Linked DNA regions of Cricetulus griseus. The protein of the gene in region 6 interacts with the protein of the main gene of each other region in a biochemical or structural test. Links are inferred from orthologs where the notes say so. Each region holds a gene or a part of one and is shown on either strand. Other genes may lie near its edges.

Evidence for each region.
Region 1: the proteins of Erbb2 (region 6) and Sh2d2a form a complex in vitro, tested with the Homo sapiens proteins (2 studies listed by BioGRID and IntAct, with this or other methods). The link is inferred for Cricetulus griseus from reciprocal best matches to the Homo sapiens genes ERBB2 and SH2D2A.
Region 2: the proteins of Erbb2 (region 6) and Nck2 form a complex in vitro, tested with the Homo sapiens proteins (2 studies listed by BioGRID and IntAct, with this or other methods). The link is inferred for Cricetulus griseus from reciprocal best matches to the Homo sapiens genes ERBB2 and NCK2.
Region 3: the proteins of Erbb2 (region 6) and Shc1 form a complex in vitro, tested with the Homo sapiens proteins (2 studies listed by BioGRID and IntAct, with this or other methods). The link is inferred for Cricetulus griseus from reciprocal best matches to the Homo sapiens genes ERBB2 and SHC1.
Region 4: the proteins of Erbb2 (region 6) and Sh2b3 form a complex in vitro, tested with the Homo sapiens proteins (2 studies listed by BioGRID and IntAct, with this or other methods). The link is inferred for Cricetulus griseus from reciprocal best matches to the Homo sapiens genes ERBB2 and SH2B3.
Region 5: the proteins of Erbb2 (region 6) and Plcg2 form a complex in vitro, tested with the Homo sapiens proteins (2 studies listed by BioGRID and IntAct, with this or other methods). The link is inferred for Cricetulus griseus from reciprocal best matches to the Homo sapiens genes ERBB2 and PLCG2.
Region 7: the proteins of Erbb2 (region 6) and Sh2b2 form a complex in vitro, tested with the Homo sapiens proteins (2 studies listed by BioGRID and IntAct, with this or other methods). The link is inferred for Cricetulus griseus from reciprocal best matches to the Homo sapiens genes ERBB2 and SH2B2.

The regions. Positions count from the first base shown.
Region 1 is NW_023276806.1:66,619,626-66,624,308, forward strand, and holds the start of Sh2d2a (SH2 domain-containing protein 2A), read right to left. Parts: upstream 2,877-4,683; coding exon 2,843-2,876; intron 2,316-2,842; coding exon 2,136-2,315; intron 1,547-2,135; coding exon 1,390-1,546; intron 838-1,389; coding exon 748-837; intron 585-747; coding exon 416-584; intron 1-415. UniProt on the Homo sapiens protein: Could be a T-cell-specific adapter protein involved in the control of T-cell activation. May play a role in the CD4-p56-LCK-dependent signal transduction pathway. Could also play an important role in normal and pathological angiogenesis.
Region 2 is NW_023276807.1:4,981,718-4,985,735, reverse strand, and holds part of Nck2 (cytoplasmic protein NCK2), read left to right. Parts: intron 1-2,566; 5' UTR 2,567-2,582; coding exon 2,583-2,808; intron 2,809-4,018. UniProt on the Homo sapiens protein: Adapter protein which associates with tyrosine-phosphorylated growth factor receptors or their cellular substrates. Maintains low levels of EIF2S1 phosphorylation by promoting its dephosphorylation by PP1.
Region 3 is NW_023276806.1:65,125,138-65,129,731, forward strand, and holds the start of Shc1 (SHC-transforming protein 1), read right to left. Parts: upstream 2,867-4,594; 5' UTR 2,458-2,866; coding exon 1,963-2,457; intron 1,416-1,962; coding exon 1,345-1,415; intron 881-1,344; coding exon 817-880; intron 703-816; coding exon 583-702; intron 105-582; coding exon 51-104; intron 1-50. UniProt on the Homo sapiens protein: Signaling adapter that couples activated growth factor receptors to signaling pathways. Participates in a signaling cascade initiated by activated KIT and KITLG/SCF.
Region 4 is NC_048597.1:101,679,914-101,683,931, forward strand, and holds part of Sh2b3 (SH2B adapter protein 3), read right to left. Parts: intron 1,003-4,018; 5' UTR 976-1,002; coding exon 319-975; intron 1-318. UniProt on the Homo sapiens protein: Links T-cell receptor activation signal to phospholipase C-gamma-1, GRB2 and phosphatidylinositol 3-kinase.
Region 5 is NC_048596.1:194,122,582-194,126,599, forward strand, and holds part of Plcg2 (1-phosphatidylinositol 4,5-bisphosphate phosphodiesterase gamma-2), read left to right. Parts: intron 1-409; 5' UTR 410-457; coding exon 458-650; intron 651-4,018. UniProt on the Homo sapiens protein: The production of the second messenger molecules diacylglycerol (DAG) and inositol 1,4,5-trisphosphate (IP3) is mediated by activated phosphatidylinositol-specific phospholipase C enzymes. It is a crucial enzyme in transmembrane signaling.
Region 6 is NC_048600.1:111,550,389-111,554,406, reverse strand, and holds part of Erbb2 (receptor tyrosine-protein kinase erbB-2), read right to left. Parts: intron 3,802-4,018; coding exon 3,728-3,801; intron 3,642-3,727; coding exon 3,551-3,641; intron 3,398-3,550; coding exon 3,198-3,397; intron 2,741-3,197; coding exon 2,608-2,740; intron 2,522-2,607; coding exon 2,431-2,521; intron 1,735-2,430; coding exon 1,574-1,734; intron 1-1,573. UniProt on the Homo sapiens protein: Protein tyrosine kinase that is part of several cell surface receptor complexes, but that apparently needs a coreceptor for ligand binding. Essential component of a neuregulin-receptor complex, although neuregulins do not interact with it alone.
Region 7 is NC_048597.1:115,193,713-115,197,730, forward strand, and holds part of Sh2b2 (SH2B adapter protein 2), read right to left. Parts: intron 2,817-4,018; coding exon 2,608-2,816; intron 669-2,607; coding exon 497-668; intron 62-496; coding exon 1-61. UniProt on the Homo sapiens protein: Adapter protein for several members of the tyrosine kinase receptor family. Involved in multiple signaling pathways. May be involved in coupling from immunoreceptor to Ras signaling. Acts as a negative regulator of cytokine signaling in collaboration with CBL.

The DNA.
Region 1 (4,683 bases), on a different chromosome or scaffold from region 6:
CTCCCTGACAATTCCTGCCAAGCTAAGTGGTGGACCTTGCATTCCCCGGCATCCACCACAGCCTCCGAACTTGATCTCATCATCGGACTGTCTGATGTCGCTGTTGTAGTAAGGTCTATGAGTGAGATGCCCACCTGTCATGGCCATAGGTCTGTTTACAGGACCTCTCCTCTTCACCCTTGCTCCAGAGACTCAGTAAACCTAGCTTAATTTAACTTGGTTGTCTCCCTTCCCTCCCTTTACCCTGCTGGTCTGGTCGAGAGCTGTTCTGGAAGAGGTGTGACTACGTAGGCAAGTGTGGCCAGCCATGGGTTGGGGTGAGAAAGGCAGATGCCAGTAGCCTGGATCTGGCTGGGATGCTGGAGGTGGCGACAACGGCACTGGTCAGAGTTTTGGGTTTTGAGTAAGGGCTCACCTGGCGGGCAAGGGGCTGGGTGAGCATCTCCCCATAGGGGCTGAGGGGACACTCTGTGTAGTGTTGAAGCAGGTCCTGAAGCTGCGCATGGGCACTGTCTTCGCCCAGCACCACGTGACGCCCATCCCCTAGCTGGGCAAGGAGGAAGTGACGGCAGCAGGTCCGGCTCCTGGAGGGGCCACTTTGGGTCAGACTTGCCATTTCTTCCCCCACCAAGCTGAAGGAAAAACCCTGAGCCCTCCTTGGAGAGATAGCAGGTCAGCACAGAGGGCTGCTCCTTGGTTAGCACAAAGCCCCCGCGTCCAGCTTGTCAATGAGGACCCGCCTCTTACCTGTAGGATAGCACGAAGGTCACAGCGCTCTCGCTGAAGCGCACCAGATAGCATCCTTGTGGCTGGGGCTGCAGCAGCCTCTCAGCTTCCCTGTACAGTTGGAGAGAAGGGTGGGGTCGGTTCTGACTCCTGCGACCTCATTTCTGTCTCCCAGGTTCTGGTAAGGGACCTCTCACTTCCATCCCAAGCAAGTATGCCACGACTATGTGGAGATGAGGGGTCAGGGGTCCAACTCAAAGGGCCCTGAGCTTCATCCTGCTGGAGGGGGAGCTGCAGGAGTAACAGACATGGCAGTTACAAGTGCTAAAGTTTAGAAGGTTAAAGCTGGACCGAGGAGATGATGGAAGACAAGTAGGGTTGAGAGATGGAGCATGGAGGATCTGCAAGGGTAGGAAGAGAGAAGGGAGGGCTGGACAGAGCTGACAGAGATGGAGGGGAGAGGGGCTGAAGATGAGGACTAGAGGCCTAGAGCCTGTAGAATAAAGTGAACCTAGGGAGAGAAACTGAGGCACAGAGTGGGTTGAGCCAGGCATCCCCTCCGTGAAAGGCCTGGGAAACTAGAGTCCTAGCTGTCACGATTTCCGGCCTGACTCAGGACCCACAGCCGCTGTGCCTTCTGGGGGTTTTCTCCCCGTGACTCACCGCCTGGTGATGAAGCCATGGAACCAAACAGGGGCAGTCTTGAGCAAGAGCCAGTGGGCCTGGGTCTTCTGGACCCACTCTCTGGTCTCGGCTTGCAATGACAGGCCACCTTTCCCAGGCACCTCTTCTTCCTTGTCAGCGTTCCCTAGGACCCAGGCTGAGGCAGAAGCCTGGGCATGGGAGAAGTCAGTGTGAAGCAGCCAAGATTAGAGGGCTTCTGACCGCAGCTGCCTCCTTTTTATCCTCGTACCAGCACCTCGACCTATCTTAGGGTCAGATTGCCCAGAAAGTCCTTCCCAAGGCCACTGACTTAAATTTCTTCTGGCCTTCTGATGACCTTCCATACTGGCCTCAGAGGGTAGGGGATGGGATAGGAAGTTGCCCGAGGCAGGAGAGGTTGGCTTCTTCTCTAGTAAAGGTGGCTGGTGAGCTGGTGGCTGAGAGGGCAAGAAACTGAGATTGGCTCTTTAATGCTTTGGGCAAATGGAGGTGCTGACGTGGGCCACAGACAGCAGCATCTGGAATCAGTGCCTGACTGTGTGCTGGTCCCCTGCTGACTGGTCCTGAGCTTTCTAGGACCAGAGGAACTGAGGGCAAGTGGGTTGCTATGCACGGGAAGGAGGCACGCCCCACTTCCTCCTTCCTCGGTACCCAGCCCTGTCCTCAGCCAGCCGTTCACTCCTTCTAGCCTTCTATATCCATCTCCATGCCCTCATACTAGGGAGGGTGGGAGCAGATGAGGCAACCGTTCCCTTCCATGCTTTTACTCACCATGGTGTGGGTGGCCCTGGGGCTAAGCTGAGCCTTCTCTTCCTTCGGAGCCTGCATGCTGGGCTTGCTCCCCCAACCCAATTCCTGGCATCGCCCCTGGGTCAAGTTCATGGGCTGGAAGGTGCTGAAGGTTGGGGAGGGGGCTTCATGATTTCCTGTTGGGACAAAGGGGGTTTCTGGGGTTTCTCAGGGAGGAGTTGCTTCTCCCTCTCTTTCCCTCCTGTCCCCCAGGCTCAGAGTGTCTCTCAAACATCCCTGAAGAGGCTTTTCCTAACAGGAACAGTCATGGCAACAGGCTAAGTGCAAGTGTCTACCGGGGAAGTGGGTGGGCACCTCAGGGGTAGGAATAAGGAGCCAAGGTCTTCCAGATGGTGACCCTGGGAACTAGGCTGGCCTTCTGATGGCCTGGAAGCCGTGTAAGAGGTAAATTCCTTCAGGCCAGGCCCCTCTCTTAGTCTAGGCTCTTCCACCTGCCATCTTTTTTTGCCCTCTTGTTCCAGTCTCCTAAAAATCTAACGACCCTGTCCCCTGCCCTCAGGGATGCATAGGTACAGAGCCCCAGAGATGGAGCAGGAGTTGACACTATGGCAGCTCTGGCTGGGGTCAGGAGCTGTGATCATGAAATAGGAGCTCAGGCCCAGGAAGGCAGTAGGGGTAGGGGACTCTTGAGCATCACACGTACCTTGGGGGCATGTCTGAGCCAAGCAGAACTCCATAGAGGCAGGTGTGTGTGCTCTCAAAAGAGGGACACACTCCGCGGCGGCCACGCATCTCTCCTCTCACTCCTTCCCCCAGCGACAGGAAATGTCGCTTTACCCACCTCCTTCATCGTGAAGAGGACCCACGTCATGGAAAGCCCAACAAGAAACAGAATTGGCCCTGGAAGGCAGGCAGCTGAGGTGCTGGTGGTTTACTCTATTAGTGCCAAGGAGTGCTTGCTAGCTGACCTTTGTCCCTCCCTGAAAACTCTGTAAGACTTCTCAGATATTCATAGTCAGAATTTTACTTTGAGGAGAGAAATGGGAGGGTAGGGTAGGGCAGCAACAGGAAGGATGTGGGTTAGACTTCTGGAAGAACTTTGTGTATGTGTGTACATGTCTGTGTTTGTGTGATGTATGTGTTATGCCACAGGTGCACTTGCTCGTGTGTGTACATGGAAACTAAAGGTTGAAGCAAGCATCTTCCTTAACCAGCCCTTCACCTTATAGTCTGAGACAGGGTCTTTCATTGAGCCTTGAGCTCACAATTTCAGCTGGACTGGCTGGTCAGTTAACCCCCTGGGATCCACTGTTTCCCTTTAAACCAGCACTGGGGTTACAGGCGTGTGCCCAGTTTTTATGTGCTTGCTGAGGCTCCCAACTCAGGCCTACAAGCTTGTACGGCAGGAACTTTGCCCATGGAGCCATTGCTCCAGCGGCTGGTGGGACTTATTTTCAGCCATATGGGATCCATGAGACACGGAATTTGAGTTTGAGGCAGATGGAGAGCCTGCCATCTGTCCTTGAGCAGATAATGGAGTTGGATTAGGGCAACACTAAGCAACCTTGGGGGATTCTCTAACTACACAGGTGTTGTTGAATCTGAGCTATCCCCGCAGGTTCATGCTTTGAACTTATGCTTCCAAGCAGTGCTGTCTTGGGAAACTGTAGGGACTTTAAGGGGTGGGGGAGAGGCAAGTCACATGTGGCAGGTGGGTATCCTCTTTGTCTTTTGGTGTTAACCCAGGGGAACAGATTCTATGACCCATTTAACATTACTTAGAAATGGAAAAGACTTGCACGTCTTTAATCCCAGCACTCAGGAGGCAGAGGCAGGTGAGTTTCTGAGTTTAAGGCCAGCCTGGTCTACAGTGTCAGTTTTAGGATAGCTAGGGCTTACACAGAGAAACCCTGACTTGAGAAACAAAAACAAAAACCCCAAACATAAACCAAAATAAATTAAATAAATAAATAAATAAATAACAGGCGCTGGTGGCGCACGCCTTTAATCCCAGCACTCGGGAGACAGAGGCAGGCGGATCTCTGTGAGTTCGAGGCCAGCCTGGTCTCCAGAGGGAGTGCCAGGATAGGCTCCAAATCTACACAGAGAAACCCTGTCTTGAAAAACCAAAATAAAATAAATAAATAAAACCCCCAAACAAACAAAACAATACAAAAAGAAAAAAAAAAAGGAAAATACCTTATAGAATTTACTAGAAAACTGTTTGATCTAATAGCACAGTTGCAGGATACAAAATCAATATCAAAACACTAACCTTTATATATATACCAACAATGTATTCTCAGAGAAAGAAAAAATATCCTATTTGTGATAGCTTCAAAAAGTTAAGTATGTAGGAACATACCTAACCAAAGAAGAGCAGGGCTTTTCAAGGAGAACTTCAAGATATCAAAAAGGAAATAATAATAATAAAAAAAGGCTCTAGACGGTGAAAGACATTCCATGCTCCTAGACTGGCTGAGCTAATAATGTGAAAATGGCTGTTCTACCAAAATTAATCTACAGATTTAATGCAGTACCTAT
Region 2 (4,018 bases), on a different chromosome or scaffold from region 6:
TTTAATATGTGATGGCACAGAGTAGGGCATAAGAATTGAGGCATAGCAAGGAAAGATCCCACAAAAACAGGATTGGAGCCCAGCCAGATAAACACCAAATTTTGCACCTCCATGTCCAGCATCTGAGCCCCCGAGCGTCCGGTTTTGCCATCTGCAGCACATGCGGCTTTTCTCTTGGTTAGTTGTGCCTGGTGCCCGCCATATTCCTTACAAAACACTGTGTGTTTCCAGCCTCTCCAGTATCCTGTGCTGTGGCTTAGCAGGAAGAGGTGTTTTTATAAAGCTTTGTGCCTTCAGCCTGCACCGAAACAAACGCCTGCTCTTCCCGTCGCTGCTGTGGATGTAGAAGGCCATTCAGTAGAGAGCTTTGGTTGGCTGGGTACCAACTGATTGAAGTGATGATCTGCTCCCATTTTAAGTCATTTTGGGAATCCTATGAGTGAGCGGCAAATCTGGTGTTGAAGGGGAATCGCCTTCCGAGCCCCATTTCTCTTTCTGCTGTTGTCCCTGCCCTTGACGTTAAAAGAGATGTCCACCTCGGTGATTTTCACAGGTGTCGTCTTACAGAGAAATCAGTGTGTGTGAGCCACACGGTATGGACTAGGGACCCCATTGCAGGTCTCCAGCTCTCAGAGGAACTTTGAACTTTGTATAAACTCCACCCTCTTGGACATTATGGACATTGCGTGCACGGCTTACATACATTTTCTTCTTCCTGAATGATTTTTTATCTCCTCGTGTGGAAATACGTGAGAAGACATGTATTATACATGGCAGTAAGTGTCATATCCATGCCTCCACGAATCACATGCATGGGTTCCTCTATAACTCTGAACTCATGGTATGAGATCAGAACTCTGTCAGGAGGACCAAGGGGTTTGGGCCCAGTATCTTGTCATTGTTCCTTCTGTAATTTGTGGGCATCTCAAATCAGTAGAGGGATTGGATACTGACTTTTCTGCTGCAAAACAAAAACAAAACAAAACAAAAAACCAAAACCCTTATGCATCTTCTGCCTGAGAAGAGTGGAATTGCTGAAGTAGATAAGGCCTGTATGTGTTGTATTCTTACCTATTTATTACTTCCCAGATTGACTTCAGATTTGTGTTGTATCTGTTATGTTAATAAGCTGTATTTTTGGCATAGTTTTAATGTGTATTTCTATCTGTACCACAGATGTGTCTTGACACACACTCTCAATTACATGCCTTCACCGGTCTCTCTGCATTGCTTGCTTTTCCTACCCCCAAGTGTCCAGTAGTCCCATGTCTTCATGGATTTTTTTCTTTCTTTCTTTTTGCCTTACCCAGAATGTTATATAGTGGAATTGCTATTCGAAAACTAGTTAGGAGATATCAAGGCAGACTGTTTAGCGGGTACTGTAGGGGAGTTTTTCAGTTGGGAAGACAGAATTCAGCTCCCCATATAAAGATAAGTGTGAGGTCATCTAGCTAGAGGGGAGGAGGAAATGCAGTGTGTGTGTGTGGGGGGGTCCCATCTGGCCTAACAGGATTTTTGCTAAAAGAGGCCAGGTGACCAGACATCACCTGCAGCATGGTGGTGTGAGAGGAACCTGATCAGGTATGGGGTAGAGGATCTTGCTAATACTGGGCGATGCAAGGATGGACACAAAAGTCACAGAGAACAGGGTTCCCAGGCTCTTCAATAAAGTTTGCCCAGAGGAACCCCAACACGAAAGCTGCATGCCCAGCCTAGCAGGCCTCAAAGCCTGTTTTCACTTCTAGAAGGCATCTGCATTTCCTCTCACTCTTTCCCCAGTGCTTAAATATTCCATTTTCGGGTAGGCAGTTGGTTTATCTGCTCACCTACTGTAGGACGTCATGGTTGTTTCCCAGTTTGGGCAATTATGAATAAAGTAGCCTAAATATCTAAATATAGGCTTTGTGTGGATACCAGTTTTCAAAAATAATTTCATTTTTTTTTACAGGAGAGTTGTAGAGCTATTTGTGCAGAACATTCCTGTATACCCCTTAGCTAATTTCTCCAATGCTAACATATTACATGAGTTGTCAAAACTAATTCACACGGGGACTATGCTGTTGCCCAGGCTTTGTTTACATTTCAACAGTGTTTCCACCAATTTTCTGTCTCTATTTTACCATCCGTCGCAGGATACCATGTTGCATTAGTAGTACAGTAATTTGAATTTGAGTGTACAGAAGTAGTTATATTTGCTAAATAGCTTCAGATCCTTGAGCATATGCTGAGGACAGGAGTGTGAACCTATCAGCTGTAGGGGCTGGTGCTGTTTAGTCAAATGAGCACTTTCATTGTAAGATTTGTATTTTAAGTTTGCATCTGGCTTCGGTAAAATGTGTAGCTCATCTAGTGCAGGGAGAGAGGCTGTAGGCTTTGGTTACAAGATGTTGATTCTCAGCAGTACCAGAGCTTGCTGGAAGGTCATTTTAAGGATGAGTGTTTCAAGGGCCTAGAGGAGACTAGTGGCAGTGTAGTCACAGGAGCTGTCATTGTCTAATTTTTCAAGTCTGTCAGAGGACAAGGCGTTCAGGTAGCTAATGAGCATCTTTAAATGTTTTGCTGGCAGAAGGACTCCATGAAAGATGACAGAAGAAGTCATTGTCATAGCCAAGTGGGACTACACGGCCCAGCAGGACCAGGAGCTCGACATCAGGAAGAACGAGAGACTGTGGCTGCTGGATGACTCCAAGACCTGGTGGCGGGTGAGGAACGCAGCCAACAGGACGGGCTACGTGCCGTCCAACTATGTGGAGCGCAAGAACAGCCTGAAGAAAGGCTCCCTGGTGAAGAATCTCAAGGACACGCTAGGTGAGTGTCCACAGCCCACCTGGCACAGCTAGGTCATCGCTGTGTGTGTGTGTGTGTGTGTGTGTGTGTGTGTGTGTGTGTGAGAGAGAGAGAGAGAGAGAGAGAGAGAGAGAGAGAGAGAGAGAGAGAGAGAGATGCAATGTGTGTGTGAGTGTGCTGTGTGTGAACATGGCATGTGCACTGTGTGTGTATATGTGGTTTGCTGTGTAGGGTATGGTATAGTGTGTGTAAGTGTGGTGCATGTGGGGTGTGATATGATTTGGTGTGGGTATAGTGTATGTGTATGAGTGTAGTGTGTGTATATATGTGGTGTGGTATGGTGTGTATGTCTGTGTTGGGGTCGGTGTTAATGTTGACAGCCTCCTACTTGGGTTTTGTACAAAGATCAAGTTAAAGACTCTACTTATCATTTTCTGGGTAACTTCTAGAGTTTAGGATCCTGGGTAAATCAACACTTCTGTGTTCTATGGACCCCTAAACAGCTGTTTCCTTGCATCCAAACTCTCAAAGACCCTGACTTAGACTCACAACAAGTTTCATAACTTTGCCTGTCAGTGCACCAACCCTGTTCTCTTACAAACTCCCATGCATTGGCTTTGTGCACACAGAAGGAGAAGACAGGTATATTTTGGTCTGTTTTTGTTTTTGTTTGTTCTTGTCTTAGGTGATATTTTATACCACAGTTTCAGGCAGTTAGTTGATGTGTAGTTGGGGTGATGAGCAATGTGACATCAGAAGCCTCGCAAGTGGACAGTTCTACAAGCCCTGTTCAGTTATGATAGTCTCTGGTCCTTCCCATTCATGCCTCCTTTCTGCCTCTGGTGTATGAGTGCATTTCCTATCACTGTAACAAACTGCTTGACAGTGGGTTGCTTTATCAATAAAAAGGCTTAATTTGGCTTACTTCAAGTCAAATGACTGTATGTGTATTGCCTTCTTGGCAAAGTTTCAGTGTGGTACAAGTATCATATGGCAGAGACTGGGGGAGATAGAGAACTGTCTATGTGTGATGTCAGAAACTGTGTGTTTTCTGACATTGTTTCCTCTGTAAAGCCACCAGTATTCACTTACGCACCTTCTATCTAGTCCCCTTCACCACCCAAAGGTCCTACCTCTAAGCAGTGTGATAGGAACCAGTTTCTTTCTTCTTACTACTCTCAGTGGGGATTAAATTCAACACAGGGACCCAGATAAGAAGATGCATTCCTAC
Region 3 (4,594 bases), on a different chromosome or scaffold from region 6:
ACCCCTAGTCTCTCATTCCCCACCTCCATCCTTTCTGTTCCCCAACTCACCGGATCCCCACCAGACGCGAACGAGATGGACTGCATGTGATGGTTGGCAATGATCTGATGCGGGCAGGGGATGGAGAAGGAAGGGAACAATCAAGGTCAGCAGCCTCAGGGTCCCGTGTACCCTCACCCCAGCTATGACCTTGGCACCCACTCTCATTCTCTCATGTGGGCAGGGGATGGAGAAGGAAGGGAGTGGTCAAGATCCCGCGTGTCCTCACCCCAGCTATGACCTTGGCGCCCAGTCTTTCTCTCGGCTTCTAATCCTACACTCTTCTAATTTTGTTCTATTTGGCGGGGGTGGGGGGAGTGGGGGGGTGTAACAGGGATGCAGGGTCTCACTGTATAGTTGGAACTCAAACACCTGCCTCTGCCTCTGGAGTACTGGGATTAAATTTGTCACTATACCCAAGCCCTCTAATTTCTTCCTTCTCTACTCTCCAGTTGCTCCTGAGGACTCCAGGTTTTTGGCCTCCAGATCCCCCCACCCCATCATCCCATAACTACCCCCGTCCCTTTCAGCAGCCCCACCCACCTGTTTGCAGTCGGCTGCCATGAGGTTAAGGCTGCTGGTAGACACAGTGAGAGTGATTGGCATTCCAGCAAACTTCAGGTTACTCCTCCCCAGGATAGAGCTGAGTGGGCGGCTACAGGGCTAGGAAAGGCCCCAAGTCTCAGAACCTGAGCACTGGCAACACCAGGAGACACTTCTGTCTCCTCCCCTTGTGCCTGCGGTTGCCTTCCCCCTGCCCACCACAACCACACATACCTTTCTCCTCCTTGTGGCTCCTTTGGCACCAGGCACGGCTTCACACACCAAACTGATGGCCTCCCTAGAGAAACAGGGGTACTCAGACCTACTCCTGGCCTCCCACTGCCTGGGGCTGCCACAAAGCTGGGGGAGGGGAAGAGCAGGCCAGATTCTCAGAGCACTCCAGGCTCTTTGTCGTGGTGGATTGAATTAAGGGCCTTTAATATTTGATGACACTGAGGGGCTGCTTCCTGGCTGATTGGGTTAGGGCCTCAATGGTTATAGCCCCACCTCTTCCCAGTTACCAAATTTGCCATTCCCTTCCCAAAAGCAGCCTTTTGTAATCCATCGTCCCACAGTCTCCCAGGCTGCGTGGGTAAGGTGGTGCTCCAGACCAGAGCTGGCTCTTTGCAGTCAGACACACTGGTGTAACTTTCAGGTCTCTTAGCCACCCCATGAGAAGTCACCATCAGCACCACCACCAAATGCCCACCTTTCCTCCTCCTCCATACAAGACTCCAACAATACACCTGCCTCTCCACTAACCTGGTGACCTGAGTCCGGGTATTGAAGTCAAGGGCTCGCATTGACTGCAGGACCTCCACACAACCCATGTACTGTGGGGGAAGGAGGCAAGGATGGATCAGCTGCCCCCTCCCCGCAATACCCCACCCTTTGCAGAAGGTTCTAGGACTGTGCCCTATGTAGTCCCTAAGGGAAGTAAAGGTAAAGTAGCCTTCCTACTTCCTGGGGCCACCACCCCATAGTGAAGAAGGGCCACCAAAGAGGACCTTCATGCACTGTGGAGAGATTGTGAGAGGAGTTGTAGGCACTGGGTGGGATGGAGTGACAGCTATGGAAAAGGGAGGAGTCTAGAGGGAAGAACCCAGAAGTCATTTTTCATTCAACACTTACTAAAAGCCTCTGATGTGCTTGACCATTGTGTAAGCTGGGGGTAGGGATCAAAGGAAAGGGGACCTAGGCAGAAGACTCCCAGGCTAGAACAGAAGGCATAGAACTGGAGAAGGGATGTGGCAGGCAGGGTTAAGAACTAGGGGAATGCCACAGATGTTGGGGGAAGAGCAGGAAGTCCCAGCAAATCTGGAGTGAGCAGAGGAACTGGATGGGGAATGGGAGGGGGCAGAAAGGAGGATGTACACTCACCCGAACCAAGTAGGAAACCCCAGGTCCCATGACTTTGTCGTTGGGATGCAGCCAGCCTCGTGTGGGCTTATTGACAAAGCTCCCGTGTCTGGTCCACTCCTCGCCCCCCAGCTGGCCCCCTTCTACCCGAGTCCTGCGCCCGCCGCCTCCACTCAGCTTGTTCATGTCCTGGAGGAGGGGCAAGAGGCCTGAGTCCCGAAGGGCTGCCCCTGCATTCCCTTCCCCATCTTCAGCAGCCTTTCCTGGCTCTCCCTTAGGCCCCAGGCGCCCCCCAGCAGGATTGGCCAGCTTCAGGTTGCTCATCCGGGGAAAGAAGGAACACAGAGTAGTCGGACTATCATCCCCCGGCAGAGGAGGCAGAATGGGTCCCAGGGATGAGGCTGACGGGGAAGGCAGCTCTTCTGTGGGGGTAGACCCTGAAGCCCCCTCCTCCAGCGATGACAGAGACTCATTTCGAAGTGGGTTGTACTTCGGCTTGGGGGGTAGAAGATCCATGGCTGGGGTGAGAAGGGGGGCTGCTGCCTGGCCCGGCCTGGCCCCCCTGCCAAATTCAGGCAAGGGGGCCAGGCAGGGGGCATCCCCAGGCCCTTAGCCTGGTCTGACCTCTGCAGCCTGGTGATAACAGAGGACCTAGGGAAGCGAAGGACAAGTGGCCTCTGCTCTCCCACGTCAGACCAAGACAGTTTCAGGCCACATCCTTGCCCAGCCCTGCGAGGAAGCCTCTTATGGCTGAGGAGTACAGGCTGGACCCAGAGCTGACTGGCTCCTCCCCAGGGGCGGGGAACCAAGGGGAGAGACCAATCCCAAGGACAATGCTGACTCACAGGCTCAGAGGGGCAGAGACACCTCCTCACACAATGTGTGCTAGCCAGGCCACTCTCCCTTACCCAATACAAACAACTAGGGTCTGTCTGGGGAGGATGAAGGTGCCAGGTAGGAGAGAAAGATGGAAGAATAAGAAAAAGAGGAAAGAAGGAAAGGAAGGAGTTAAGAGGAACTCTGGATTAATCCAAACTGACATGGGCTAGCCAAAGAGAGCAGGAAGCCCGGAAGGTTAGGAGGGATAAAGGAGGAAACAGAAGCTGCTGAGGGAGGAAAGGGGGGGGGGTGATCTAGAGTTTAGTATTTCTCTTACAGCCTAGACCATCCCCACCCCCCACCATACAGTAAGTGAGGTGGCAGCCCCAGGGAACCTGGGCCATTAGCATCCTCAGCCACAACAGCTGTGGACAAGAGCAAGGAACCAGGAAGAGAAAGTTGTCCCAGTGGGTGTAGATCGAGGCCAAGAGGGAAGCAAAGCTGAAACAGGAGGAATAAGGCCAATTTGGGCGGTGGTCTGGGAGCTACTAGGCAAGAGCTAGAGCAAGCCTGTCCCTTAGGCTTGTTACCTACCAAGGACCAATGGACTTCCTGGACCCCTTTCCAGAGGATGTAGAGACAATCAGGCTACCTTTAGACCTACAGACATATTTCTCTCCTTACAGGCTGTAAGGTCCACCCAACAGTGTCCCTCACACTAGTAGAGGAGTTGGCCTTGGAGGTCTGAAAATGAAACAAACAGAACTGGTGCCTACAAGCCACAAAGGGATAATAGGGCCATAAACAAATCAGTGTTAATAAAGACAGGAAGAAGAAAGGGATACCAGAGGTTGGGATCTGGCCATAAGTGCATAATAACACCAAGCCCATATTCCTTTGCCCACAGCTTCCTGCCACAGCTCTGCTAAAGGCCATCAGGAAGTTAAAGAAAGTGACCAATCAGCATTACTCCAGAATAAACTATCACTTATTTCCTTTAAAAAAAGAAAAAGGGGGGGGGGGAGAGGCAAATACAAGAAGTAAAAGGTAGTTTCTTTACAGGCTCACCTCCAAACTACCTTTAGGTTTAGTTTGGAGAATTAAAAACTGTATGATTGTGATTAACAATACCGGAACTTAAAACGGGTTAAATATCATTCTTCCGATTTTTCACCTGCCCTTAGTCCCCATCCCAGGAGAGCTGTTACTGAATATCGAACTTCTTCCTGAAAAGAAACTCTGTCATCCCGTCTACTAAGTAAGACCTCAGCTCTTAGAGGAGGAAAAATTCTGCCACAGCCATACACTTCCAAACACACACAATGATTCTTCATCTTGAGAGATGGCTTTCTCTAGGAGCGTTCATATCCAGAGGCAAGGAATGACCAAGAGTATGCACATTTGGAAGAAAAGGAAGCATGAGCCTTTAAATCTGCTTAAAGAGATGGGAGATTATCTACCGGACCAAAGCTAGGTAGTGGCAGCTGGGGGAGAGCCGTGTTTTGTACCTCAGCCCAGCAGGGAGGAAGCTGGAAGGGTAGGAAATAGCAGGAAATGGCGAAAGCCTCAGGAATGTTTCCAGCAGGGAAGGTTGGGCAAGTGGGGTCAGGATGAAGGCCAAACAGGAGTTATCTGGTTAGGGGGAGGGGTCTTTTAAAAACAACGGGAAAGGCACTAACCCCTACTCCTGACTCCAAAACAAGTTTTTCTTCTGATGGCAACAAACTTTCACTCCTGTTAGGTTCACACAAATCCAAACTTAGTGCAGTCCAGCCACAGGAAGGTACCACCTATGGCTGTCTCAGGAATAGGGGCTGACCCAGGAAGGAGTGGG
Region 4 (4,018 bases), on a different chromosome or scaffold from region 6:
CTCATATGTCACTCTCAGTTGGATGTCCACCTCCATCCACCCCTCAATCATTCCACACACACAATATCCTGAGGGCCTACTGTGTTCCAGGCATTGCAGTCAGCCCCAGGGATACAACAGTGAACAGGCAAGATAGTTAAACTTTAGCTGGTGTGGTGGCATGTGCCTGTAATCAAGACCAGGGAAGATCAAAACCTATGAACTAACCAGTTCCAACCCATCGACAGTGAGTCGCAGACTCACCGTCCTGGCTAAGTGTGGGCCACGGAGGCCTACCGAGCTATGGACCCGCTGCTGCATACTCTGCGGGGCTCTTACCTTGGGCGGGTCAAAGAGCTGCAGTAGGCGGCCATGGCCTGGGCCCGGGGCCCGCAGCACCAGGCGACCCCGCTGCCAGCGTGCGCCGCTGTCCATGGCTGCCTCGTCCGCCAGGCTATAGCGCAGCGCAGTTTCCTTGAGCGCTTCGGCTGGCGGCTCCCGCAAGCTCCAGGATAGCAGCTTGCGGGCCGGTCCAGGCCTGGTGGTGGCAGAGGTGTCGGTGTCGGTGTCATTGGTGTCGCTGGCGGCCCCCGGCAGCTCCCCGGCCGAGCGGCGGCGGAAGAGCTGGCGCAGGCCGCGGCGCAGATGCTGCAGGGCGCAGGTGGGCCTTGGGCCCAGGTCCTCGGAGCTTCGTGCCTTGGACAGTGCGGGGCGGTGGTGTGGGGCAGTGGCACGGTAGTCGCGGCCCGGCGGTCCCGCGAGGCCCTCGCGCACCTCGCGGCAAAAGTGTCGCTGGAAAAGCTCGGCAAACTGCAGCGACACCAGGTCGGCGCGTGGTGGCTGTGGGTGCGCGCGCGCAAACAGCCAGTACTGGCGGGCCAGCTCCCGCGCTGCTGCTGCTGCGTGCTGCTCACAGAAGTCGCTCCAGCCGCGCGGAGAGGCGGGCGACGCGGGTGCCGAGGACGTGCGGGAGGGCTGCACGGTGGACCCATTCATGGCGGAGAGCGAGGCGGGGCGGCCGAGCTGCAAGACAGACAGAGAGCAGTGAGCCAGGGAACGTACCCGCCCCCCACGGCCACCCCGGGAACCCCGCACGTGGAAACCAGCAGACAAGAAGGCGGGCAGTGCATACAAGGTGGATACAGGAAGCAGGCCAGGGAGGAGCTCCAGAGGGGCTCCAAGAGCTCAGCACCAGAGCCATGCGTGGGGTTTTCCCAGATTTTCCATCTAGTATTTTCAAGCCTGGGTTGAAATTCATGGGGAGTGAATTTTGGATGAGAGGAACTGCCTACCAGGAAACAGGCTACTCACAGCACACCTAAAGTAAAAACTGACCAGTGACACCCAGGGCTGGGCACTTCATTACCTATGGTAGGTTCTGGGAAGCAGTACAACTTCTTTAAGAGGTCAGTTTGAAAAGAGTAATTTTAGACCCCTTCCCCACAGCTAAAGGTTTTCATAGTAGGCACTTACTTGCTCATGGGCCCAGAGCCCTGACCACAGCTCCCTGCTATTGGTGACAACCCTCACTAAGCAGGCAGGCTTGGGAGGCAAGGGCAAGAGGCAATCTGTCACCTCCTCCAGGAAGCCCCAAGGTCACCCCGAAATCAAACCCAACAGTCCACCCTGTATGATCCTATTATGCAGTACATAAACCAAGGCTCACATGTCTCTCTCCAGCTAGTTTTTACACATCTAATGGTGGTCAAGATAGGCCTCACTAGCAGGTCCATCCTGAAACAGTAAACTATGGGAGTGCAGGGGAAGTAACTACCCATCTCTAGAAAGCATGGCTGGGAACATGGACTCCAGCCCCACCTCTCACTAGTTACCTCAAGTGATGCTCCACCTCAGCTCCCATGGCAATTACAGGCCTAGAATTTGGAAAAGTTCAATGTGACTGGCTGCTGTCCTCATTTAAATGTTGCAGCAAGCATGGTGACAGCCACACTAAAGACAAAATGCAGCCTGTACTAACCAGATTCACAGGGACATAGGCATCTCTAGGCCTGGCAGGGAACTCAGGCAGACGCAGGTATAAGACAACCATGAAAGATGCCATTGGTCACCACTGCACTGTCCTTGAATAAGATAAGTAATAGAGGAGCCAGGCACAGGGACATCCCTGAAGCACAGCCTGAGTGAACAGGGTCACCCAGCTTGCCTGTCACAGCTGCAGGGACCTGTGCACAAGACCCACCATCCACCCCTCCATCATTCCACATACAATATGCTGAGGGCCTACTGTTCCAGGCATTGTAGTCAGCCCCAGGGATACAACAGTGAACAGGCAATATAGTTAAACCTTAGCTGTGTGGTGGCATGTGCCTGTAATCAAGACCAGGGAAGATCAAAAGGTCAAGCCGGGCAGTGGTGGCATACACCTTTAATCTCAGCACTCAGGAGACAGAGGCAGGAGGATCTTGTGACTTTGAGGCCAGCCTGGTCTACAGAGCAAGTTCCAGGGCAGCCAGGACTGTTAGACAAAGAAACCCGGTCTCAAAAAACCAAAAAAAAAAAAAAAAAAAAAAAAAAAAGTTCAAGATCAACATTGGCTGCATAGTGAATTAACTCAAGGCCACCCTGCATTTCATGAGACCTGTCTCAAAACAAGCAAACCAACCTGTTTCCCCAGAGCTCACTGCAAAGAGGACCAGGCACTGACTGTGTGGCCACTGACATCAGACTACATCTCTCTGAACCTCAATTTCCAGCCCATTAAACATTTGTCAGGGGCTGGAGAGATATCTCATTGGTTAAGAGTACTGGCTGCTCTTCCAGAGGACCTGAGTTCAATTCCCAGAACCTACATGGCAGTCACATCTGTCTGTGATCAAGTTCAAAGTGATGTGACACTCAAATACATACATAAATGCAGGTAAAACACCAATGTACATAAAACAAAAATTAGTAAATCATCAAAAAAAAAATGTTTGCCAGGACTAGAGGGAAACATCTGGGCCCAGATGCGGTGTTCTTTCTACTGTACCTACTACACAGGCACTTTCTCCTGTGTCCTGTGTACTGCCACACTCAGAATAAACAAGTAAGGGTGGCCAGCCATTTCCAGCACCTGACAGGTTACTTCAACTCCAGTGCAGAAGCCTGTGTACTCACTGGGGGACACCGAACTCAGTCAGTACTTTGTATATCATACCATAAGGTCTTTAGCACACAGTAGGTGCTGTGTGCACATAGTAAACAGTAAAAACCAGGAGGCAGAAAGGAATAGGCCACTTCTAACCAAGCCCATCTCATTCTGCCCACCTCTCCATGGGAAGCACCTATTCCCTGGGGGATTCCCAGCCTTTGTCAATGCTATATCCCCACCCACGAGGCCTTGACACAGGAGAGGCAGTCACAGTCTCTATGGCCTGGATGACCCACAAGCTGAGTGTACACATCATAGCTCTGGCCTCATCTGCACACTGCAAGGGCACTGGGCTGCATTCTTGCATCCAATTCCCTAGACCTGTCTGTTTTCATAATATCACTTGAGGAGTACCAAGTCCCAAATCTGTCCTCAGCAACGAAGATTTGTCAGTGGCCATCTCCACCAGACTATGGCTCTGGGACCAGAGCACACCTGCTTTCCTCCACTTTCTGCCACAGCGGGGGCTTGATGAAACACACAAAAACTCAAGTCTTAACCCGGTGTTGGTGGTGCAAGCCTCTAATCCCAGTACTCGGGAGGCAGAGGCAGGCAGATCTCTGTGAGTTCAAGGCTAGCCTGGTCTCCAGAGCGAGTGTCAGCTCCAAAGCTACACAGAGAAACCCTGTCTCGAAAAACAAAAACAAAACAAACAAACAAACAAAAAAAAAAAAAAAAAAAAAAAAAAAAAACTCGAGTCTTACTACACAGCCCAAACTGGATTTGGGTATATCTTCCTCCGGCAGGCCTGGCATGAATAAAGAAGTTTTTCCTCTTGACATGGCCTCATGTAGCCCAGGCTGACCTCCTCCTGTCTCTAACTTCTGAGATCTGGGTTTACGAACATGTACTGGGTTTCTATGGTGCTAGGGATGGAACCTAGGCTTC
Region 5 (4,018 bases), on a different chromosome or scaffold from region 6:
GCTCATTGTCATAGAGAGGAACCAGTTGCTGTAATTTTGTTGTAAATGGATAGTAAGGAATCATCTAGCAGGTGAGACACACTGCTGGAGGGTGGAGGTTACCAAACATGGCTACTGAACATGTCAGAACTTCTTTGCTTATGCAAATTTGGACAAGAAGAGAGGAGGGTCACCCATTCAGCTATGGTGATTTGATTATTCAAAGCTTGTGTAACGGTGGGGTCGTGGAGGCCAGCCAGCGCCTTCTCTCCACCCAGACTTCATTTAAACCTCTGCCTTTCGGCTCCACTCTCTAAGTGCCCAAAGGCTCTTGGCACTAGAACCCTCACCTATAACTCAGTCTGATGGGAGTGAGACAGGCTCTTGGCTCCTGATATTAATTTTTTTTTCTATATTCTTCCCCTTGCAGCTTCTGTGTTTCTCCTTCTTCTTCTCTCTCTCCCTGGAGTGGCTGACAATGACTACCATGGTCAATGTGGACACCCTTCCGGAATATGAGAAGAGTCAGATCAAGAGAGCCCTGGAGCTAGGGATGGTGATGACTGTGTTCAGTGCCCGGAAGGGCACCTCAGAGCGGAGGACGGTGCAGGTGATCATGGAGACTCGGCAGGTGGCATGGAGCAAGACTGCGGACAAGATCGAGGGCTTCTGTAAGTACTTGCTGGGCGGGCAGTGAGGTCCATCGGCCCTGCCCACCAGAGTAGTACCTGTTGGTCCTCCAGTCTGTCTTTGTCACCTTTGTCAGGATGAGTGTTGGTTTGGTCCATTCTTTTAAAGGCGAAAGCATTTCCACTTGGTGGGGGTAGGGGTGGGGGTGGGGTGGGGTTGAGAGGAGGTGGGGGAAGTTGATCCAGGGAAGTTCTTGTGAAATGACAGCAACCCCAATTGGTCAACTTGGCCGTGATCTTGAAACAGCAGCAGGGTTCATCTGGTTTCCATAGCTGTCAAGCTGTCTGGCTTCTGAAGGACTCCCTGGCTGGGGTCTGGGGAGGCTGGGAGCTTGGTAGCCAGAGGGCTAACGACTTTATTTTATTGCAAACCACAGCAGCAAGAGACTTTTACTTTGGTGTTTAAAGGCACAGAAAAAAAAATCATTGGATATTTTGCAGCTTCCAAATGAAATTCTGGTCCTGGTGGCTGTGCCTTCCCTCATCACCTTCGTTGCCTTACACTGGGCTGTTGGCTCAGCTCCCCGAATTTCTGAGGGGATTGCTTGTCGCAAATAGAGTCAGGACACTTAAGTAATTTTCAGTTGCAGAAGTGTACTTTAATTTTATTCCTTATTAATGAGTGAGAGTTTTATTTATTTATTTTGCTGTGCCTATAGCATTCATATGAGGGTCAGGGGATCACTGGTGGGAGTCGGTTCTCTCTTACATGTGGATTCTGGGGACAGGACTCAGCTTAGCAGGCTTGGTGGCAAACACCTTTAGCCCCTGAGCGATCTTGCCAGTCGAGTTTGTTTTAGAAGGATCCCATGTAGCTAGCCTGGGACATGGAATGTAGCTAAGGATGACTTTCAATTTATGATCTTCCTACCATAGTTCTCAGGGCCAGGATGGAACCCAGGGCTTTGTGCATATGGGGCAAACACTATCCAATGAGCCATGTCTCTAGTTAACAAGATTTTTTTAATAGTAATTTCTTTGTGTGTATGTATGTTTGGCATGCATGCGAAGACCAGAAAACAATTTATAGGAGTTGACCCTGCCCTTCTATCACATGGGTCCCAGGGATCACACTTCAGTCATCAGGCTTGGTGGCAAGTGCCTTTACCCACAGAGCTATCTTGGCAGCCCCCGGAGTAGCTTTTCATTGAAAAACTATAATGTACCTTTGAAATAGTAGTGCTCAGGAGGCTGAGGCAGGGGGGATTGATTGTAAGTTTGAGGGCTACATAGTGAGATCTTCTCTAAGAAATAAAGTACTCTCAGAAGTTGGGGAATTAACTTACAAGAGCCTTTCACCTCTGACCCTTCACCCCTACCCTACAGATAGCTCTGTCCTAGCTTGTTCTTTGTGGTTGGGATACACACCGTGAACAATAGCAAATGGGGTAGGAAAGATTTATTTCAGTTTACAGGTAGAGAGCTTGGTTTGCTCTGCTAAAGATGACACCTTTCACAGTGTGCTGGGTCCTCCTACATCCGATAGCAATTGAAAAAATACCCCACAGACAGGACAATCTGAGGGAGCCAATTACTTTTCCAAGGTGACTCTGATTGGAGGAAGGTTGATAACTGAAGCTAAGATGTCAAACTCATAAACTTCTGATTTTTTTTTTTTTTTTTGAGATAGGGTTTCTCTGTGGCTATGGAGACTGTCCTGAACTAGCTCTTATAGACCAGTCTGGTCTCGAACTCACAGAGATCTGCCTGCCTCTGCCTCCCGAGTGCTGGGATTAAAGGCGTGTGCCACCACACCTGGCCATAAACTGCTGATTTGTCTTCTGCTAATATTCTATGTTCACATAATGGAGGTTTGTTTGTTTGTTTATTTATTTAATGAAAATGGAACTACTTCCTTCTGCTCCTTGGTTTCTTTTTGCCTGGGGCTGGTGCCTTTTCAGCACACAGATCTGTCCCTGGCTTTCTTGGGCCTGGCTGCCAGTTTAACTGGAGTGGGACTTGTGCTGCTTCCAGACATTTGTCACTAGCTGCAGCAATGTTTCTTTCTTTCTTCCTCTTTCTTTCTTTCTTTCTTTCTCTCTCTTTCTTTCTTTTTTTTTGCAGTCTTCTTTTTAAAAAGTCATGATTTTATTGAAACAAAATCAACTTAACATACTTACAGTTCATGATTTAAAGAGACAATGCAAATTTAGGTGTGGTGGCTCAAAGCAGTAGAAGTCTTGGCCCTCTGGAGGAAGGAAGATTAAGGGTTCAAGAGAATGCTGGGCCAGGTATAGTGGCATGCACTGTTTTTTTTTGTTGTTTTGTTTTTTTTTTGAGACAGGGTTTTTCTGTGTCACCCAGGCTAGCCTCAACTGAGAGATCTACCTGCCTCTGCCTTCCAGGTACTGGGATTAAAGACACCACTGCCCAGTTTGTTGCATGTACCTTTAACCTCAGCACTCAGGAGTCAGAGTGCTGAGGAGTTAGTTTGAGGCCAGCCTGGTCTACATAGGGAGTTCCAGGACAGTCAGGGATATGTAGAGAGACCTTGGAAACAGACACACACACACACACACACACACACACACAGAGAGAGAGAGAGAGAGAGAGAGAGAGAGAGAGAGAGAGAGGGAGAGAGAGAAAGGGAGAGAGAGAATCCTCATCACCACATAAAAGCATGGTGACATACACCTGTAATCCCAGAGCTGGGGAGGCAGACAGGAGGGTCCTTGGTGCTTGCTAGTCATCCAGTCTAGTGCCAATCAGTGAGGTGCAGGTTCAGCAAGGAACCTTGTCTCAAAATATAAAGTGGAGAGTGGTCAAGGAAGACACCAGTCATTGACATCCTCCTGCATGTGACAAGGGTCACCATGGTGGTTAGTATATTTAAATTTATGTCATCACTGCCAAGGTCAATTCTGGAACATTTTCAATAAGTAGCCTTGTCCCCCTGACCCTCTTCCTCTGACTCCCTCCTACTGACTCTCCCCTAGCCCTGAATCTACTTTCTGTTTCTACAAATGCTGCTGTTGTGGCCATTTTGTGGGAATGGAATCCTGTTTGTTTATAGCCTTTTCACATGGATTCTTTCTGCTTCATGTTTTAAGATTTTTCCACTTTTTAGTGTGGAATGGAATTTTATTTTTTTAGACATCCAAGTAATATTCTACAGTAGAGTTATTCTACATAAGAAATTGTTAAATCTGTTCATTTTAGGTAGTTAAATAGTTTCTGTCTTCTAATTTGAAGAGTGTGGCTCTGAACATTTATGTTTTTTATTTTATTTTATTTGGCTGTCTTGGAACTTGCCCTGTAGACCAGGCTGGCCTCAAACTCACAGGGATCTGTCTGCCGCTGCCTCCCAAGTGCTGGGATTAAAGACGTTCACCACCACTGCCATTTTTTAA
Region 6 (4,018 bases):
TGTTGTTTGGCAAGATGGCTCAGCAGGTAAGGGCATTTGCAATCAACCCTGATGATTGTGTTCAATCCCTGGGACCCACATGGTAAAAGGAGAGAACCAACTCCGGGAGGTTGTCCTCTGACCTCCAAATACCTGTCATGCACACACATGCCTGCTCAGCATGCACACACATACACAAATAAATGTAATTAGAATAATTTTTATAATAACACATTAAAATGTTAAATTGCCATGTGAGGTATAAAAGAATGCTGCTAGCAATTCTTTTCTTTTTCTTTTTTTTTCTTTTTCTTTCTTTTTTTTTTTTTTTTTTTTTTTTTTTTTTGGTTTTTTTGATACAGGGTTCTCTGTATTGTTTGGAGCCTATCCTGGCACTCGCTCTGTAGACCAGGCCAGCCTCGAACTCACAGAGATCCTCCTGCCTCTGCCTCCTGAGTGCTGGGATTAAGTGTGCGCCACCAATGCCCGGCGCTGCTGGAAATTCTACTGTGGATAATTTGAACTGTTTTCCCTGGTGATTTAACTGAAACCATCAGATTTTTGAGCAAGTGCCTCTCTGCCCACTGAGCCATCCTCTAATGTGTTGTTTTTCATTTTTTATGTCTGTATGTGTCTGAGTATATGTGTGTACCTGCAGAGGCCAGAAAAAAAGCCTTAGAGCTCCTGAGGCTAGAGTTCACAGAAAGCATGAGTCTCCTGATGGACCAAATTCCAGTCCTCTGAAAAAGCAGCAAGCACTCTTAACCCCTGAACCACCTCTCCAGCCCCTAATGTGTTTTTTTAAAAGATTTTATTTATTTATTTATTTATTTATTTATTTATTTATTACGTATACAACATTCTGCTTCCATGTATATTCCAGAAGAGGGCACCAAATCTCATAACGGATGGTTGTGAGCCACCATGTGGTTGCTGGGAATTGAACTCAGGACCTCTGGAAGAGCAGCCAGTGCTCTTAACCATTGAGCCTCTCTCCAGCCCAATGTGTTATTTTTTAATTTTATTTACATGTATGAGCCTGTGTGGTGTGTATGGTATGTGTGTGTGTGTGGGTTTGTGTGTGGGGAAGTGTGTGTATGGTGGAGAGGGGCAATGGGTACCCTCGGAGACTGGAAAATAGGACCAGATCTCCTGACGCTAGTTAACAGGCAACCTGAGTCTCCTGATATGTGTGCTAGGAACCAAGTTCCAACCCTCTGGAAGCACAGCAAGTTCTCTAAACCACTGAACCACCTCTCTAGCGCCTGTGTTATTTTTATAATTAGAAAAGAAATATAAAAATTACCACTCAGCCCAGCAGTGGTGATGCATCTTTAATCCCAGCACTCAGGAGGCAGAGGCAGGTAGATCTCTGTGAGTTCAAGGCCAGCCTGGCCTACAAAGCAAGTTCCAGGACAGCGAGAACTGTTAACACAAAGAAACCCAGTCTTGGAAAAACAAAACAAAAAAACAAACAAAAAATTATATCTCAATATGAATGAAGGTGGATTTATCCCCCTTTCACAGTAAGAGCTCCAGGGAGGCTACTATCATGAAAGCCTTCCTTTCTACAGAAAAAAACCCTTCCACTCACGAGTGGGTGCAGTTGATGGGACACGGCTGGCATATGCCCTCCGCATCCGGGTACTTCCAGATGGGCATGTAGGAGAGGTCTGGCTTCACACCACTGGGGCAGCGAGCCACACAGGAGGAGGAGTCCTTGTAGTGGGCGCAAGCGGTACACTGGTCAGCCTCCTGGATAGAGAGGAAGGGTTTGTGGGGTTGGGATCACCATCCCTACAGCAGAAGGACCAGGCCCTGTGTCCCTGACCTTGCAGCAACACTGCCTCCCTGTCACTGGGGTAAACATCCCTGCTCTTTACAAGGAAATGGAGGCACCCAGAGAGGGACGTGCGTTCTCTAAGGTGTGACAAGTGACAACTATTATGTACAAAGTTTTTTCCGTGCTTGGGCACCGTGCCAAATCCTATTTAATTTCATTCTCACCACACCCCAACCAGGTAGGAACTATTACAACATTCTCCTTATAGAAGTGAAAACTGAGGGTGGAAACAGGGCCTGGATGTGGTCCCTAGCACAGCTAGAACCAAGGACACAGGCCTTCTTGGGACTGTCTGAAGGGCTCCAGTGTCACCAGCGTGAAGGGAGAGCCCATGGTCCACAGTACAATGAGGGCAGAGCAGTGCCCCCATTCCAGCCTTCCTGACCTTCTCCCCTCCTGCTGTCCAGGTCTGAGCTGAGCCTTCTCTAGGAACATTTTACCCTGCAGCAACTTAACAGACCCCCGGTACCCTTTTGCTTGCCGGTGTCGTCCTGTCCCCGTGTGTGTGTGTGTGTGTGTGTGTGTGTGTGTGTGTGTCTGTCTGTCTGTCTGTCTGTCTGTCTGTCCGTGTCCCATCTCCCCCCCCCTCGAGGCCACCAGCACCTCACCGATCCAATGCAGGTCTCTGTGTTGTTTTGAGGCTGACACTCGGGGTGGCATGGCAGACAATGCTTGCCATCCACATACTCCCTAGGGAGCCTGTAAGAGAGGCAGGTATAGTAAGGGGTCTGGGAGGTCCCCATGTGTGTACCCCTCAAGCCACCCCACTCCTCTGCTACTCATACCCCTTCGATACTCGGCACTCCTTCACACACTCCTGGCCCCGAAGGAAGTGACTGCAGTTGACACACTGGGTGGGTCCTGGCCCCCAGCAGTGCCCATGGGCACACAATGGGTAGCAGGCCAAGTCCTTGCGATCTGCAATGAGGAGAAAAGCAGGAGAGGTATTAGGAGAGGCTCACTCAGGTCTAAGCAAAAAGGCTGTGAATGAGCATGGCTCTGGCTAAAGGGGTTGATGCCAGGACATTCAGGGTGAGGAAGAATTCTGTGGTTCAACAACAAGGAAGGGATGGATGTTTGGGCAGCATGGAAGGACACAGCTGGAAGCCATGTCACAATGCCAAACCATCACTGGGAAGTGAAGAATGGCTCCAGTGGGCATGCCTTTAATCCCAGCACTCGGGAGGCAGAAGCAGGCAGAGCCCTGTGAGTTTGAGGCCAGCCTGGTATCCAGAGTGAGCTCCAGGACAGCCAGGGCTGCATAGTGAGATCCTATCGCAAAACAACAACAAAGCAGGGCTAAAAAGGTTTGCACAGGCCAGAGGCTATTGACACTTCTGTGTACTGGCCCACAGGGCTGGCCTTCCTGTCTTACCACATTCCTCCTCTGGCTGGTTCCCACTGTGGAGCAAAGCCTGGTGCGGGTTCCGGAAGAGCTGGTCCCAAGGTACAGTATGTACAAAGCAGAGACGGGTGTTGCGGTGAATGAGTACCAGTCCGCTGCCCAGCTCCCGCAGTGAACGCAGCCCCAACCAGTGGATTCCCAGGCCTTGCAGCGTCAATGAGTAGGCGCCACTATGGAAATAAAGTTTCCAGTTGCAAGGAGGTACCTACTCTAGGTCCATTTCCAGCCAACAGGTACCTCCCCCTGCCTCAAAACACTCTGTCAACTCATGTTAAAAGCTACTGTGGTGTCATGCCTCCTAGGCTCCCTCTCCACACACTTACTCATGGAGAATTCGTCCCCGAATGACTCGAAGGTTCTGGAAGACGCTAAGGTCATGGAGGCTGTCTGGCCATGCTGAAATGTATAGATAACCTGCGGGCAGAGGAGGGGGCCGGGTATGCAGAAAGGTCCAGAACTCCTGGCCCCCATGGAGCAGGACACAGAAAGACAGGGCCCACCTGTGATCTCCTCCAGGGTTTCAAACACTTGGAGCTGCTCAGGCTTCAGGGGAGCAACGCCGGAGGCAGGGTTCCTAGAAGGATCAGGAGGAATGAGTAGGGCAGGAAGATGGAGAGCAGGAGGCCCAGAAGGCCTTGACACACCACTCTCCATCCACACCAAGTCCTTTACTTAAAGCCCAATCAAGCCTGGCTGCTCCCATCCCAAGAGTCAAAGCCTAGGGTCCAAGTCCAGCAGAGCAACATTTGTGTCCTTTGATCTAGAAGTCTCATTTGCAGAAGTCTGGCCGG
Region 7 (4,018 bases), on a different chromosome or scaffold from region 6:
CCAGCCGGCTCTGTCCAGCAGGAGGGGGCTGGTGCCACCGTGCTGGGCGCTGGTCCTGGGTCTGTAATGAGAGGTCATGTTGGTCAGCATTTAGCCCTAGGCACCTGAACTTCATCCTCCAAAGCCAGCCAGATGAGGGGGACCCAGGACACAGTATGCAAGCAGACATGCCTTTCCAGCCTAAGCTAGGCACCCCACCAGTGTACCCTCAAAATCTGGTGCTGAACTCTAACCTTACAGGGCTTCCAGAACCCACCCCAGGTGTCTGTGTGTCCAGGTGAAGGGTTTTGAGTCTGGGTCTAACATATCCAGTGACCTTTAAATCACCATGTTGCAGAGAATGGTTTTGAACTCCTGATCCTCTTGCTTTCTCCTCCAGAGGACTGAGATTACAGCCAGTTTATGAAGTGCTGGGGATCAAACCCAGGCCTTGAGCATACGAGGCAAACCTTCTATATATGAGCCACATATCAAGCTCCAGATGGTGGCATCTTACCAGGAGGCCGGCCTTGGGCACGCACATAGCTTCTTAGGGTGATGCCAGCAGATCCCCCTGACTCCAGGGGTATGGGGTGGGTGTGGAAGTGTCGAAGCATGTCAAACACAGACTGGAACCACAGATGCTGGACATGGCACTGGCCATGACCATTCAGAGACAGGCGAAGGTGCTGTGGGCACAGATGTATGGTCAGTAGTGGGGTCCCGGGCTGGCTACCTGCTTCCCAAATGGTTAGAGGAGTACACATCAGTCACACTGAGGCCTTAGGGTACTGTGTTGTGTTGGGGGTCCTCATCCTGAGTCCTATCTGGGGTAGGTCACTCCTGTGGTAGGTACGGGAGATGGTCATAACAGAACTAGGCTGGGGCTGAGGGCTGCAGACATCTGTCCTCACACTGGAATCAATCTGTCTTTTTGAATATTTGTTTTGGCTTGGAGAGAGGATCTCAGGTGACCCAGCGGTGTGCAATGATGGCACGTGACTCTAAGCAATGATCCTCTTTAGATCTCCTGGGTTTACCTGAGGCAGGAGGCTCAGTGTGAAGAGCCATAGACCAATAGTCTTTAGTATTGGACCACAGGTCTCTGGTGTCAGGCCTCCTTTGCTCACTTTGAGACAATAGCAGCCAGGCTAGAAGAGAGCCCAGGTTAAAGGTCATCTCATGCCTGTCCTGCTTACCTCTCCATGGGCCCTGGTAGACAGGGCACCATCCTGTCTCAGCTCGGGATGTTTGCTTGAGATCAAGCCCTCTATGGTTAGTAGTGCTGGCCAAGATGTCAATTACCAGCCACCAGGAGTGACATTAAGTGCCTGGTTGTCAGAGGAATTGACAAGGTAGGGAGACTTAGCCTCCTCCACACATACCCAGCTGGCCAGCACTGCTAAGAGTAGGCCTGAGGGCTGCTGGAGGTCCAGTCAGAAGTGAGGGTGGCTATGACCTTCAGCTGCAGGCCACGGGCAGGAAACTTGAGGTGCTATGGGGCTGCTGGGAAATGATACCCTGGAAGGATATAAGGCTGGGTCTATTTCCTTATTGGAAACATGGGGTGAGTGTGAGGGGCACAGTGACCCTGCCCACACCTGCCACACTGTCATGCCCCAAACCGCTTGACCTTTGTCCTCTTTTTCATTTTTATTGATTTTTAAAAAACTCATCTATCATCTATGTTTGCATGCATGCATGTATGTATGTATGTATCTATCTATCATCATCTTTATGTGTACATATGTGCAAATGTCACACTGCATTTTGGAAGTCAGAGGACAACCTACAAAAGTCAGTTCTCTCCTTCCATCGTGGGCTCTGGGGATTAAACTCAGGCAGTGAAACTTGGCTGCAAGTGCCTTTACTGGTGAGCCTTCTTGCTGGCCCTTTACTTAATTCTTTATTCATTTATTTATTGAGACAGGGTCTCACGAGCACAGGCTGTCCTTGAATTCACTATGTAGCCAAGGATGACCTTAAACTCCAGATCCCCCTGCCTCTGCTACCTGGGTGCTGGGTTTCCAGATGTACACCACCAAGTCCTGATGTGGAGATTTGTTGTTGTTGTTGTTGTTGTAGACTTCATTACAGATGTTTTATACAGGTTATAAGCATCAGGATTAGTAGACAATGGTGCCTCAGAGCAAAGTAAGATAGATAGCAAGTGTAGGTACAGGCTGCTCATGGCAGATTTTTGAGACAGGGACTTGTTATGTAGCCCAAGCTGGTTTCTCACTCCTGACAATCCTCCTGCCCCAGCTTCTGAAGTGCTGGGACTACAGGCATGTAAATCTGACTGTTAAGCTAACTTCTCAGAGAGACTTGCTGTTTTTTTGTTTGTTTGTTTGTTTTTGTTTTTTGTTTTTTGGTTTTTCGAGACAGGGTTTCTCTGTGGCTTTGGGGGCTGTCCTGGAGCTAGCTCTTGTAGAATCACAGAGATCTGCCTGCCTCTGCCTCCTGAGTGCTGGTACTAAAGGTGTGTGCCACCACTGCCCGGCAAGAATTGCTTTTTGAGTGGACTTGGTCATGAGCTGGTGATGAGCCTTAGGACCTGGGCTACCTCAGTCCAACTCCCCCAGAACAGGCTACTCCCCCTGTCACCCCCAGGCCACACACACTTGCCTTGGCCTTGCCCTGGAAGTTGAAGGTCAGCACACACTCCCCAGGTCGAGTCTCACTTTGGCGGATCACAAAGAGGCCATGGCTCCGGGGCCCACCAGCCAGCACCAGCTGAGCAGCCTTCACTCGGGACAATGTCCCATGGAACCAGGGGTAGTCGGAGAGTTCCAGCTCAGCCTCAGCATCAGTGTCTAGCTCAGCTGCTTCATCCCCTGGGTTCGTTGTAATAGCACGGAGGACAAAAGGAAGACAAATTAAGTCAACAAGAGAAGGGGAGCTGTATCTTGTTTGTGTGGGTAAACTGCCATTTGAATATCAGACCTAGGCAGAGAAATGACTGACCATGTCTAGTCAGCCTTGAGGTAAACTGAGGCATAGGGAGGGAAGGGAGCACTCGCAAGTCAGCAACAAACCTGGGAAGAAGCCAAGCCTCTTCTCCACCTGGCTCTGTTATGTCCTTTTGTTTATGTGTGTATGTAGGTGTTTGTGTATGCATTTGGGTGCCGGGAGAGGTCAGAAGTGGGCATCAGATCCCCTGGAGCTGGATTTACAGGCAGGTGTGAGCTGTCCTACATGGGTGCTGGGAACCAAACTCAGGTATGTAGCACCTTTCTCTTGGGCCACCAACTAGCTGCCAAATCATGATATGGAGACTTATTATTAGTTATGAATGCTTGGCCTTAGTTTAGGCTTGTTTCTTGCTAGCTCTTTTTTGTTTGGTTTGGTTTGGTTTGGTTTTTAGTTTCTCTAGATACGGTTTCTCTGTGAGCACCACTACGGCCTGGCTAGCTCTTTTAATTTATATTAACCTATTTCTCTTCGTCTACACTTTGTCTCAGTGTTTTTATCTTTCTTTCATTCTCTATGTCTTACTCTGTGTCTGTCTGGCAGTTGCCTGCCTGGTTGGCCCCAGGTGTCTCCCTCTTTCTTCCTTGCTCTCTTCTACTTGCTCTCTGCCTATCCCTGTCCTGCCTAGCTATTGGCCATTTGGCTTTTTATGAGACCAATCAGGTGCCTTAGGCAGGCAAGGTGAAACAGCAACACATATTTACATGATTAAACAAATTCACCATAAACAAATATAACACACCTTTACATAGTTAACTTAATAGTCCACTACATGGACTCTCTGGAAGAACAGCAATCACTACTCACCACCTCTCTAGACATCTCTCACACCTCTCTAGACACCGCTCCAGCCTCGACAACCTAAGTGCTGGGTTACAGGCTTGTGCCACCAAAGCTGCCTTTTGAGTCCCGCATTGGTGACACACACCTTTAATCCCAGCACTCGGGAAGCAGAGGCAGGTGGATCTCTGTGAGTTTGAAACCAGCCTGGTCTACAGAGCAAGTCCCAGGACAGGCTCCAAAACAACACAGAGAAACCCTGTCTCAAAAAACCAAAAACCAACCA